Linked DNA regions of Macaca fascicularis. The protein of the gene in region 3 interacts with the protein of the main gene of each other region in a biochemical or structural test. Links are inferred from orthologs where the notes say so. Each region holds a gene or a part of one and is shown on either strand. Other genes may lie near its edges. The genes, in order: PCK1, PAIP2 and UBR5.

The links.
Region 1: the proteins of UBR5 (region 3) and PCK1 form a complex in vitro, tested with the Homo sapiens proteins (2 studies listed by BioGRID, with this or other methods). The link is inferred for Macaca fascicularis from reciprocal best matches to the Homo sapiens genes UBR5 and PCK1.
Region 2: the proteins of UBR5 (region 3) and PAIP2 form a complex in vitro, tested with the Homo sapiens proteins (2 studies listed by BioGRID and IntAct, with this or other methods). The link is inferred for Macaca fascicularis from reciprocal best matches to the Homo sapiens genes UBR5 and PAIP2.

Annotation. Positions count from the first base shown.
Region 1 is NC_088384.1:113,624,062-113,628,182, reverse strand, and holds the start of PCK1 (phosphoenolpyruvate carboxykinase, cytosolic [GTP]), read right to left. Parts: upstream 2,807-4,121; 5' UTR 2,714-2,806; intron 2,546-2,713; 5' UTR 2,506-2,545; coding exon 2,282-2,505; intron 1,845-2,281; coding exon 1,663-1,844; intron 1,220-1,662; coding exon 1,016-1,219; intron 886-1,015; coding exon 698-885; intron 23-697; coding exon 1-22. UniProt on the Homo sapiens protein: Cytosolic phosphoenolpyruvate carboxykinase that catalyzes the reversible decarboxylation and phosphorylation of oxaloacetate (OAA) and acts as the rate-limiting enzyme in gluconeogenesis.
Region 2 is NC_088380.1:145,856,291-145,859,939, forward strand, and holds part of PAIP2 (polyadenylate-binding protein-interacting protein 2), read left to right. Parts: intron 1-2,445; 5' UTR 2,446-2,471; coding exon 2,472-2,609; intron 2,610-3,251; coding exon 3,252-3,431; exon of another isoform or gene 3,432-3,649. UniProt on the Homo sapiens protein: Acts as a repressor in the regulation of translation initiation of poly(A)-containing mRNAs. Its inhibitory activity on translation is mediated via its action on PABPC1.
Region 3 is NC_088382.1:111,908,884-111,912,532, forward strand, and holds part of UBR5 (E3 ubiquitin-protein ligase UBR5), read right to left. Parts: intron 2,915-3,649; coding exon 2,763-2,914; intron 2,304-2,762; coding exon 2,208-2,303; intron 1,729-2,207; coding exon 1,605-1,728; intron 1,248-1,604; coding exon 1,150-1,247; intron 369-1,149; coding exon 220-368; intron 1-219. UniProt on the Homo sapiens protein: E3 ubiquitin-protein ligase involved in different protein quality control pathways in the cytoplasm and nucleus. Mainly acts as a ubiquitin chain elongator that extends pre-ubiquitinated substrates.

The DNA.
Region 1 (4,121 bases), on a different chromosome or scaffold from region 3:
CGGGGTTAGTTATACCCAGGATCTGTTGGGGACAAGATTCTTTTTTTTTTTTTTTTTTTTTTTTGAGACAGAGTCTGGCTCTGTTGCCCAGGCTGGAGTGCAGTGGCCAGATCTCAGCTCACTGCAAGCTCCGCCTCCCAGGTTCACGCCATTCTCCTTCTTCAGCCTCCCGAGTAGCTGGGACTACAGGTGCCCGCCACCTCGCCCAGCTAGTTTTTTTGTATTTTTTAGTAGAGACGGGGTTTCACCATGTTAGCCAGGATGGTCTCGATCTCCTGACCTCGTGATCCGCCCGTCTCGCCCTCCCAAAGTGCTGGGATTACAGGCGTGAGCCACCGCGCCCACCGGGGACAAGATTCTTTATTGTGATCTTTGTTCCCTTCTCCCCGAGGTTGGTACTTCAGCCCAGAGGTTGGAATGTAGGCCCTCAAGATCTATTTCTTCAGGTATCAGTGCAAACAAACATTCCCAGAATCATGAAGTCCAAAGGATCTCGATGGTCCCCTGGTGTTTGGGGCCCTTCAAAAGTGACGTATACGTGTGCACTAATCATTACTGGTGGGGTTTCCCAATCTGTCTGGGAACCTGCATGCTCGGAAAGGTGTACTGGGTCTTGCTGGATGGGAACTGTAATGCTGTTTGTTTCTGCCACCCCCCGGGCCTCTCATCTGCACGTCAGGGCTTCCTGCAGACTCACCAGCATGTGCTCTGCCAGCCACCCTTCCTCCTTGGCCAGCCGACTGGCTATCCTGAGAGCAAAGCACTTCTTCCCGAGCAGCGAGTTCCCGCCGTACCCACTGCCAAAGGAGATGATCTCTCTGCGGTCAGGCAGGTGGGCGATGAGCGTCAGCTCCGGGTTGCAGGGCCAGTTGTTGACCAAAGGCTCTGTGAACAAGGACCCCTCCCACGTCAGTGAGCCAGGGCTCTGTTTGGGGGTCCCCGAGGCACCCGCTGGGGTTTGTTGTTCAGCTTTCTTTTTTTATTTTGACTTTTGATTCTGAAATAATACACTTACTTTGTAAAGGCAGAGGGCATCCCACAGAATGGAGGCATTTGACAAACTCCCCATCTCCCAGTGCTTCCAGGACGGGCGTGCCCATCCGCGTCATGATCCGCATGCTGGCCACCACGTAGGGCGAATCCGTCAGCTCGATGCCGATCTTCGACAGAGGCGAGCCCAGCGGCCCCATGCTGAATGGGATGACGTACATGGTGCGACCTACAGGGTGCGATGGGTAGGCACTGGTGAGAAATGACCTTGGATTTTGAACACAACCAGCATTGTTTTCCCAGGTAGACCCATTTTCACAGTCTTCCACTAACACCACCACACCCTGCTGGCCACCAGCCCCCCTAGGTTAGGGGAGGCCACTGGAGAGTGAAGAGCCTGCTGAAATTAAAGAGTTTTCATAAATGTGCAACCAGGTCCCACCAACCTATTTAAAACCCACATGCATGGAAATAGTTTCCACATTTGTATAAGACAGTCTGTAAAAGCAGAAGAGGGATGTGCATTTTCGATACGTTGCCAACTTCATGTATGGAACTGAAAGATGTCTGAGGTGGTGGGAGCTTCCATTACACTTTGAATTACCATTAGGATAGATGTAATAAGAAAAGGTTCTCTGCTATTTTTCCCAATCAAATCAATATTCCGCTCACCTTTCATGCACCCTGGGAACCTGGCATTGAACGCTTTCTCAAAATCCTCCTCTGACATCCAGCGACCGAGCTGGCTGAGGCCTGTTTTGGGGATGGGCACTGTGTCTCTTTGCTCTTGGGTGACGATAACTGTCTTGCTTTCAATCCTGGCCACATCCCTGGGGTCAGTGAGAGCCAACCAGCTGTAAAAATCACAGGCTTCCTTTCAGCCAAGCACCATGGGCAGCGAACCATCTCCTTCAATACCGTGGCTTTCCATGCCTAGCAGAGCACTGAGCATGCTAACAACAGTCCATCCGTGTGAACACACAGACCATCTAAGACATGGCCAGGTGGGCGTTTACTCAACTAGGAGCTAGTCTGTAGGAGAGGGGCTGTCTTTCGTTTTTATCAAGAATCTAGTTGGCAGAGCTTTTGTGCACACCACCTCATTTAAAGCTTGGGCTAGCCCACTAATGTCACAAAACTCAAATCTGTATTGTTCTGACCATTGCATTCAACTTCTCAAGAGTCTGAAACTCCCGAGAGGCCTTCATTCACCTTTCTCCACCAACTTCCAGGAGACGCAGGGGAGCCCTGCCTGCAGGGGCCTGGGGCAGGCAGTGGGGGCCGAGCTTACCAGTTGTCATACTTCTTCAGCCGCCTGAGGATGCCCTCCTCTTCCATCTGGCCCAGAAGCCGCGCGTTCTCCTCCTCGGAGCCGTCGCAGATGTGGATGTGATCAGGCTGACACAGCTCAGCACTGTTCTCAAGAAACTCCCTCACTGCCTTGGGCAGGCTGTCCAGGGTTCCCTGGACGACTTTGGCCGAGAGGTTCAGGCCGTTTTGCAGTCGAGGAGGCATTTCTGCAGAGTGCTGCTAAGGGGCACGAATGTGAGGTCACCTGAAATAGAAAACGCAAGCGTCCTGAACAAAAACAATAACAGACATCTTCAAACACATTCGACGGCCTTTAGCTGGGACCGTGCATTGCCAAATAGTTATTACTCTCAGGAAAAAAGTGAGTTCATCTTTGTAATTTTTCGAAATGTAAATGCAAAGCTCTACTTACCTTTCTTCTCTTTGGACGATCTCGAAGGGAGATCCAAGGTTTCTTTCCGGGTTCTTCCTGCTGGCGAGTTTGTGTTCCCAGTGGGAAGGCCGTGTTCCGTGGCAGAACCTCTCAGCTTTAAATACCGTGGAAAAGAATAGTCCTGCCCCTTGGCTGCACCCAGGGAGGCTCGCCACTGACATCAGGGGGCAGGTCTCTGGATCATGGCCAGGGTCAGTTATGCTTTGAGCCAACTCACTGCAACACGCCCCAGGGAGATAATCATTGAACAATAGTTGTTAATGAATGCTGGGAGACTTCGGGCCCTCAACCAACCGTAGTGAGTTTTGACACAACTTCCAATTGACTAAACCTTGACCCATTTTACTGCTGATGCAAAACACAACACTCTTTTCTTAACAGGCAGGTGGGGTCGGGGACAAGGCTGCCCAGGTCACCTACCGGACTTCAAGGGCTGCTGGCAGCACATTTTGTGTGCCAAGAGCTGCTGGTTGGCAAAACACCACAGCTATAAGATGTCATCCCACAGTCAAAGTTCACAGTCAAAGTGCATGGGAAGAATGCAACCTAACTTGGGCAAATATGTGGCTTATAGGCAAAGATTGGAAATACCTAACCTAACTGGGGGCTAATCACTCTATTGATTGTCTGCTGTGTGCCCCCAACCGCCCCAGATGTAAACTCCATGAGGGCAGGGATTTCTCCCTATTTTGTTCATTTTTCTATCTATAGTGCTTGGCATAGAGTAGGCACAGAATGCACACATACTGAGCACTGTTCTAAGAGCTTGGCATTATTACTACCCTCTGAGGTGGAGACTATGAACAACCCATATACAGATAGGGAAACTGAGGCAGAGACTGTGTAGCTACTCCCAGCTGGCTGGTGGGTGGCAGAGTGAGTATCTGAACACGAGGAAGTTGGGGCCTGGAGCACCATGTCCCTCCCTGTGAGGTACCATCAACTTTCCAGAACCTTCCCTGTGTCCTCCAGGGAGTTCTGGGCTGAGTGCAGTTACTCCTGCAGTCCACTAGACACTGTTCACTTCCCTGGCAAGTCTTAGAGTTTAGGGAGTGGAGGTGGCATGGCAGTTTTGCTAGATTATATGCTTAAGCAATGAAACCTTTATAACAGTTTTAAAGAATTTGCTTTGCAAGCCATCAGACTTTCAGTCCAATTTAATGAACTACGGAAGCTGCTTGCTGGAGTTTGGAGAACACGGGGTGAAACGTCAAAAGAGCAGGGCTAGGCCTCAACTCCCCACAGCCAGCCCACACTTCCGTGGAGCCTCTCTGCCTAAGATGAGGTCAGGTGGGGACTTGGCCCATCTTCCCGCTGGGATGTGGGATGATCCCGGAGATAACCCCAGGACTGGGCTTAGAAAGAGCCGCTCTGCAAATGCAAGGCA
Region 2 (3,649 bases), on a different chromosome or scaffold from region 3:
CAATTAGGTTAGATCATGTTATCAGCTATTGAGTAGTATAAGACATCAGGCTTATATTTGATACAACTTATACTCAGATGAAAAGATACTGGACTGGGCTGGGCGCGATGGCTCATGCATGTAATCCCAGCACTTTGGGAGGCCGAGACAGGTGGATCATTTGAGGTCTTGAGTTCAAGACTAGCCTGGCCAACATGGTGAAACCCAGTCTCTACAAAAATACAAAAGTTAGCTGGGTGATAATGGCACACGCCTCTAATCCCAGCTACTCTGGAGGCTGAGGCAGGAGAATTGCTTGAGCCTGGGAGGCGGAGGTTGCTGCACTCCAGTCTAGGTGACACAATGAGACCCTGTCTCAAAAAAAAAAAAAAAGATACTAGATGCCTGAAACTCACTGTACAGTGAGGAAATCCAGACATGGCAGAACTTGACATGGACCTAGAGAAAAAGCAGACACAGAATGGGCTATGAAGGAGAGATCAGAACTATACCTGAAGAACCTGAGAGGTTATTAAAAATCTGTTAGTTTTAGGCCAGGCATGGTGGCTCACGTGTGTAATCCCAGCACTTTGGGAGGCCAAGGCGGGCAGATCACGAGGTCAGGAGATCGAGACCATCCTGGCTAACACAGTGAAAACCCGTCTCTACTAAAACAGTACAAAAAATTAGCCGGGCCTGGTGGCAGACGCCTGTAGTCCCAGCTACTCGGGAGGCTGAGGCAGGAGAATGGCGTGAACCTGGGAGGCAGAGCTTGCAGTGAGCCAAGATCACACCACTGCACTCCAGCCTGGGCGACAGAGCAAGACTCTGTCTCAAAAAAAAAATCTGTTTTCACTTTCAATCCCTGGACTTTTTGAAGTCAGTTTTTAAAAATTGAATTTGCTCTTCATCATTTAATCACTTGATGACTTGATGCCTCAGTCTTCCAGACTGTGTTTGGCGGCGGCGGCGGTGGTGGTGGTGGTTGTTCGAGGTGGAGTTTCACTCTGTTGCCTGGGCTGGAGTGCAGTGGTGCGATCTCGGCTCACTGCAACCTCCACCTCCTGGGTTCAAGTGATTCTCCCACCTCAGCCTCCTGAGTAGCTGGGACTATAGGCATGTGCCACCATGCCCAGCTAATTTTTTCATTTTTAGTTGTTTTTTTTTTTTTTTTTTGAGATGGAGTTTCACTCTTTTTGCCCAGGCTGGAGTGCAATGGCTTGATCTCGGCTCACCACAACGTCTGCCTCCCAGGTTCAAGCGATTCTCCTGCCTCAGCCTCCCGAGTAGCTGGGATTACAGGCATGCACCACCACCCCAGCTAATTTTGTAGTTTTAGTAGAGACGGGGATTCCCCGTGTTGGTCAAGCTGGTCTTGAACTCCCGACCTCAGGTGATCCACCCGCCTCGGCCTCCCAAAGTGCTGTTTTATATTTTTAGTAGAGACAGGGTTTCACCATGTTAGGCTGGTCTCAAACTCCTGACCTTAAATGATTCACCTGCCCAGGCCTCCCAAAGTGTCGGAATTATAGACATGAGCCACTGTGCCCGGCCGACCATGCTTGCTTTATAAAGCAAGTGATATGTAATATAAAATATAAATTGGATGGTTTGGAGAGTCCCATGTAAGCAACTGATGTACTTCATTTACTGTTATCAGAAAACATTAGCTGTGGCCAGGCACGGTGGTGCACACCTGTAATCCCAGCACTTTGGGAGGCCAAGGCAGGCAGATCATCTGAGGTCAGGAGTTCAAGACCAGCCTGGCCAACATGGTGAAACTCTGTCTCTACTAAAGATACAAAAAATTAGCTGGGCATGGTAGCACGTGCCTGTAATCCCAGCTACTTGGGAGGCTGAGGTGGGAGAATTGCTTAAACCTGGGCAGTTGAGGTGGCAATGAACCAAGATCATGCCAGTGCATTCCAGCCTTGGTGACAGAGTGAAACTCCATCTCAAAAAAAAAAAAAAACAACAAAAAGGAAAACATTAGATGTTTTAGCTATCCTCTCCTATTAAAACATTAAAATCATTTGGAAAAAAAATATGAAGCTTTCCAATTGTGCAACTTACCGTGTATCATCTGCCTCTAACACCTATTCATGATGCCTGCTAATAAACAGATGCTCATTAAGAACTGAAAGAATCAGCTGGGCCCGGTGGCGCATGCATATAATCCCAGCACTTTGAGAGGTTGAGGTGGGGAGGATCACTTGAGCCCAGAAATTCGAGACCAGCCTGGGTAACACAGACCTTGTTTCTACAAAAAATAAAAAAAATTCAGCTGGGTGGTGTGGTGGTGCACACCTGTAGTCCCAGTTACTTGGGAGGCTGAGGCAAGAGATCAAGGCTGTGGTGAGCCATGATCACACCACTGCACTCCAGCCTGGATGGAGTGAAACCTTGTCTCAAAAAGAAAAAACCCTGAATAAGTAAGTAAATTAACTGTGTTGTTGTTCTTTTAAGGTTAAAAACGACAACCAACATCAGCCATGAAAGATCCAAGTCGCAGCAGTACTAGCCCAAGCATCATCAATGAAGATGTGATTATTAACGGTCATTCTCATGAAGATGACAATCCATTTGCAGAGTACATGTGGATGGAAAATGAAGAAGAATTCAACAGACAAGTTAGTTTTTTGTACAAACATGTTCTTTTTCATAGTCCATTCCGGCCCTCAATATGATTGTACTTGTCCGTGAAATGTGTTTATCTTGTCCTTTATGTATGAAGTATGTAGACTGATGTGCCACCACTCCTACTTATTTGGCTGCTGATTACTACCAGGCTTAACTGCTTATGGAAATAACCTGGGGAGCTTGTTTCAGGGTCCCACCCTAGAGATTCTGAATCAGGAGGATGAGGGTGGAGCCTGGAAAACTTTTTCAAAGCTCCCAGATGGTTCCAGTGAGCAATCAGATTTGGAAACCACTGCCTTACGCCTGTCAGATACACCAGTCAGATTGCTGTGAAAGTCAAGAGAATTTAGGAGTCAGGAGTAGACAGGCACAGAAAAAAGAGACAGGCATCTCTTTTTACTTCTTCCCTGCCACTCTCAATGGAAAAAAGAATGTTCTACTAATAAAAGTAAAAACAGAAAAACCCTAAACAGATCTTCGCAGGTCATTATGGTAAGCATTTTTTTCCTTAGCACAGAAGCAGAAAAGAAAGTGTGACCTTGTGCCTTTAAATGGTTTAGTTCAAGATATTTTAAGCCATTCCTGGTGATATCTACCAAGTGTGCTACAAATTATCTTTATTATAAATCTAGATAGAAGAGGAGTTATGGGAAGAAGAATTTATTGAACGCTGTTTCCAAGAAATGCTGGAAGAGGAAGAAGAGCATGAATGGTTTATTCCAGCTCGAGATCTCCCACAAACTATGGACCAAATCCAAGACCAGTTTAATGACCTTGTTATCAGTGATGGCTCTTCTCTGGAAGATCTTGTGGTAAAAACTTATTTTTCATCTTTTAAGACCTAGTGCAACTTTTGCATAAGTGGAAAAGCCAGTTCCCATCTATTTAAGAATTCTGCATCTTCTTCCCCTTCAGAAATTGTGCTGCTTCTGGCTGGGCGTGGTGACTCACGCCTGTAATCCCAGCACTTTGGGAGGCCGAGGCAAGTGGTTGACTTGAGGTCAGGAGTTTGAGACCAGCCTGACCAACA
Region 3 (3,649 bases):
GGATCAGATTATACTACCCAGTGAAAATTTCCACTTTTCATGGTATGCCATATTTAACTGAGCAATCAGCTCTTCTGCCTCATTTACTTAGGAATTAAATCAACTTTCTTCATATCAGACTTAACAATTCCAAAGCTGAAAACTCTAAGTCTAGTGATAGTCATAGGGAAAAAAGACACAAAGATATGATTAATACAGGAAAATGTAAAAATAACTTACCTGGTTAATGTGCTCTGCTCCAGTCCATGTAAAACTGCAAGTGTCATTACAACATAAGACATATAAAGGAGAGTCATCAGGGTTGGTACCTGATGGGCAAACCATTCCCATGAATACATCTTCCTCTTTTTCACTTGAGGATACTTCAGCTAAAAAAGCAAGAACACATCAGTTCATCTTGCAGCAAAGGACTTAATTAGCCATCCAATGTCTTCAAATGGAAGGCCTTAGCATACACACAGTATAAACCAGAAATTATATATCAATTTTAAAAAGTGATATACAAAGATGACATGCAAAGAAATCTAACCAACTCTGGAACAATGTAAAGCATAATTATATCATACCCACATACGACGCCCATAAACACACTATACATCAGCCATCTGAATCCTTAGCTCTGTTTCAGGCGGTTAAGACTCAAGTCCCAGCTCTATTTAGCAAATTATAGACCATCTCATAAACTATCAGTATTTTAAAAAGATAACTATTTTAATCTTTCAAAGGCTGGAAGGTAAGAATTGATATTCCTTAATGCTTTCTATTTAGTAGGAATTCTAAGTCAGAAATAACAAGACATCTGTCTATTATTCTGTAAAGTTATATCACTTAACACCAATTAACTACCAAGAGGTTCTATGAGTAACCCATCTTATTTTCCAAAGATTTTACACTGTTCATTATGGAGTATTTTTAAATCAATAAATTTATATTAGTTGTATTTTGATGGAAAGTTGGAAGATACAGTACACTTCAAGAAAGAATGATAACACATGAATTTCACACACACACACAAATCTTGATCGTTTCCAACCAATTGTATCATTTACATATATGGAAATTCAGTCTGAATAATTATAATATGTGTACAGAAGAGAATCTATCCAAACTGAAAAATATGTAACTCACTTAGGATCTGAAATAAATTACCTTTTGCAATTTTCTGAGCAGTTTCCAAGATGGTAATTGCAGCAGGATAAGCTCGGCCACTTACAGCTGACATAAATGGGGTCATCCCTCTTGCATCCCTAAAATAAGAAAAATTATATGTAAAAATATTAATTACTACTTATTTTCCTTCCTGATAAAATAAATGTTCATGATAAAACAAAAACCTAAATTTTTAGTCTTTCACATACAAATATACAACTCCAACAAGCTAAACATAAAAGCCAGTTTGTATTCATTTAGTGTACACTACATGATATTGAGACGGTCTCTTTCACTCAACAGAGCTTAGTAGTAGAGGGAGTATCATGCTGGATTCTGATCAATTGTTTTAAATTTACACAACTGTTGTCCATATAGTGTCAGAAGATAAACTTTAATAGTAAAAGCTAAGCTAAGCTAAATCTTCATATGAAAAATATATCAAAACCTCTTACTTGGCAGAAAGAAGTTCTCGTAGATAGGGCTGGAGAACCACACTGTCACATAACAATTTTAATATAAAATGAGCATTCGCCTTTCGATCCTTGGATTCTACTACAGATGGCTCTGTGGAAGGACCTGTAATTAAGCAGATCCATTTGGTACAAAACAAGAATGAAGAAGACACAGTAAAAGAATATTCTGGGCTACTCTGCCTATGGGGTACATAAGCACATAGATAATAGGGCACACTGCCTATGGGGTAGCTAGCCCTGCTCTGCAAGGAGCAGTTACAATTTTTTTTTTTAAGAATATCCTGGAATAATATATCAGGCATATAAGCCACCAGAACAGTATTCTAGTATCAGTAATAAATTAACTTCATCACAAAGAATTTAAACCTATGAACATTTTACAAATCTCATCTGATTTCTAAATGTATGTACACAGACACCACATATTTGCACTGACAGATGGAAGGTAATTCAGAGAATTAGATGTTTTTCAAGCAAAGAAAAGTCTCTGTGAAATAAAGTGTAGATCTGTAGAACCCTATATCCAAACTGTGTCCTTTTTTCTTCCAGATGACTAGGCAGACAAAGAGTACAGATTCTTACCTGGAATAGTGGAGGTGCTTGGTCCTTGACCAGTACCGGTCGCTGCTGTGGTAAGAGATCCCACAGCGGGGGCCAGGATAAAATCAATGTCACCATCTTTCAGTAAACAGAACAGTAGGATGTATATCATTATAGGCAACATATTCCTAACATGTTCTCTTAACTGGCCTTAAGGCTTTTCTCTGCAAGCCAAAGGTCAAACAGGATAGAGTTTAAGTGGAAACTTCTTTTCCAAACTATAAGAGAAGGAATCCACTAGGCAAATCTATTGACTTATCTTGATAAATTACTAATAAAGGGATTATTGAGCTTCTTACCGGTACAGAAATAAATATTTCAGTAAAAGTGGAACACCTGACAAGAGTTCTGGAATTTTAATTTTTAAAATATAAATACCTTAAATCTAATTTTTATAGCTAAACTAGTTATAATATTCATCATACTACTTTCAAATCTCTCAAATTTCTACATATCCCTTTAAAATGTTAAAATTATTTCCTTTCATGACCTGCTCTTTTTGTTAAACACTAAATGAAATTAAATAACAGCTCTTACCAGGATCCATCGCAGGAGGGTCAGGAACCCAACTAGGGGGAGCTATGGGGGGTGAAACTGGATCCTGGTGGTCACTGGATGAAGCTCCAGCTTCATGTCTACCCAAACCAGCTGCTCTCAACGAACGTCTCATCATTTCCCGTAATCTCAAACTAAAAGAACATGAACAAAATCAGAGCTCACTACCATATCTACACATAATGAAATGGTGTACAGAACTTCTCATCTGAGAAGATGAAAGTATGTCCTACAAGCAAGCACTCCAGGCAAGGGAAGTGAAGTACAAATGCCAATTCTGGAATCACAGAATAAGTCAGTGAGGGATAGAAATAAAACTGGGGGCTCCTAGTACACCGTTCAGCACTAAAGTCACTATCTTAAGCTCCCACACAAACTTAAGCACAGGGAACGAAAGCTGCGGTGAAGTAAGATTAGAAATAATCTTTCATACAGTTCAGATAAAAGAACAGCTAAACATTAAAACGAAAAGTTTCTATCCCCCATTTATAATCAGTAATAATTAAGTTTAATAGTAGACATCAGCAATCATACTGATTAGCACAAAACCAATACTGTTCAACACTAAATCCCTTTTATAATCTCAAAAGCAACTGAACTAATATCCACGCAATGAGTAGTTTTAAAACAAACACCAATTTAGATTTTTACACACAAAAAAAGAATTTTTAACAGTATAACTTGCATCCCAAAGAAATGAATGAATGAAACTAGAGTTTATAAAATGTGTTGTTAGATTAATGTGTGGGCATGATTTTTTTTCCTCCTGCTATAAAAAAAAAAAATACTGTACAGGTGTACACATCACTAAAAAGAAAAAGAAATAATCACAAACACAGAACTCGTTAGGGGAAGTGGGAACTACCTGT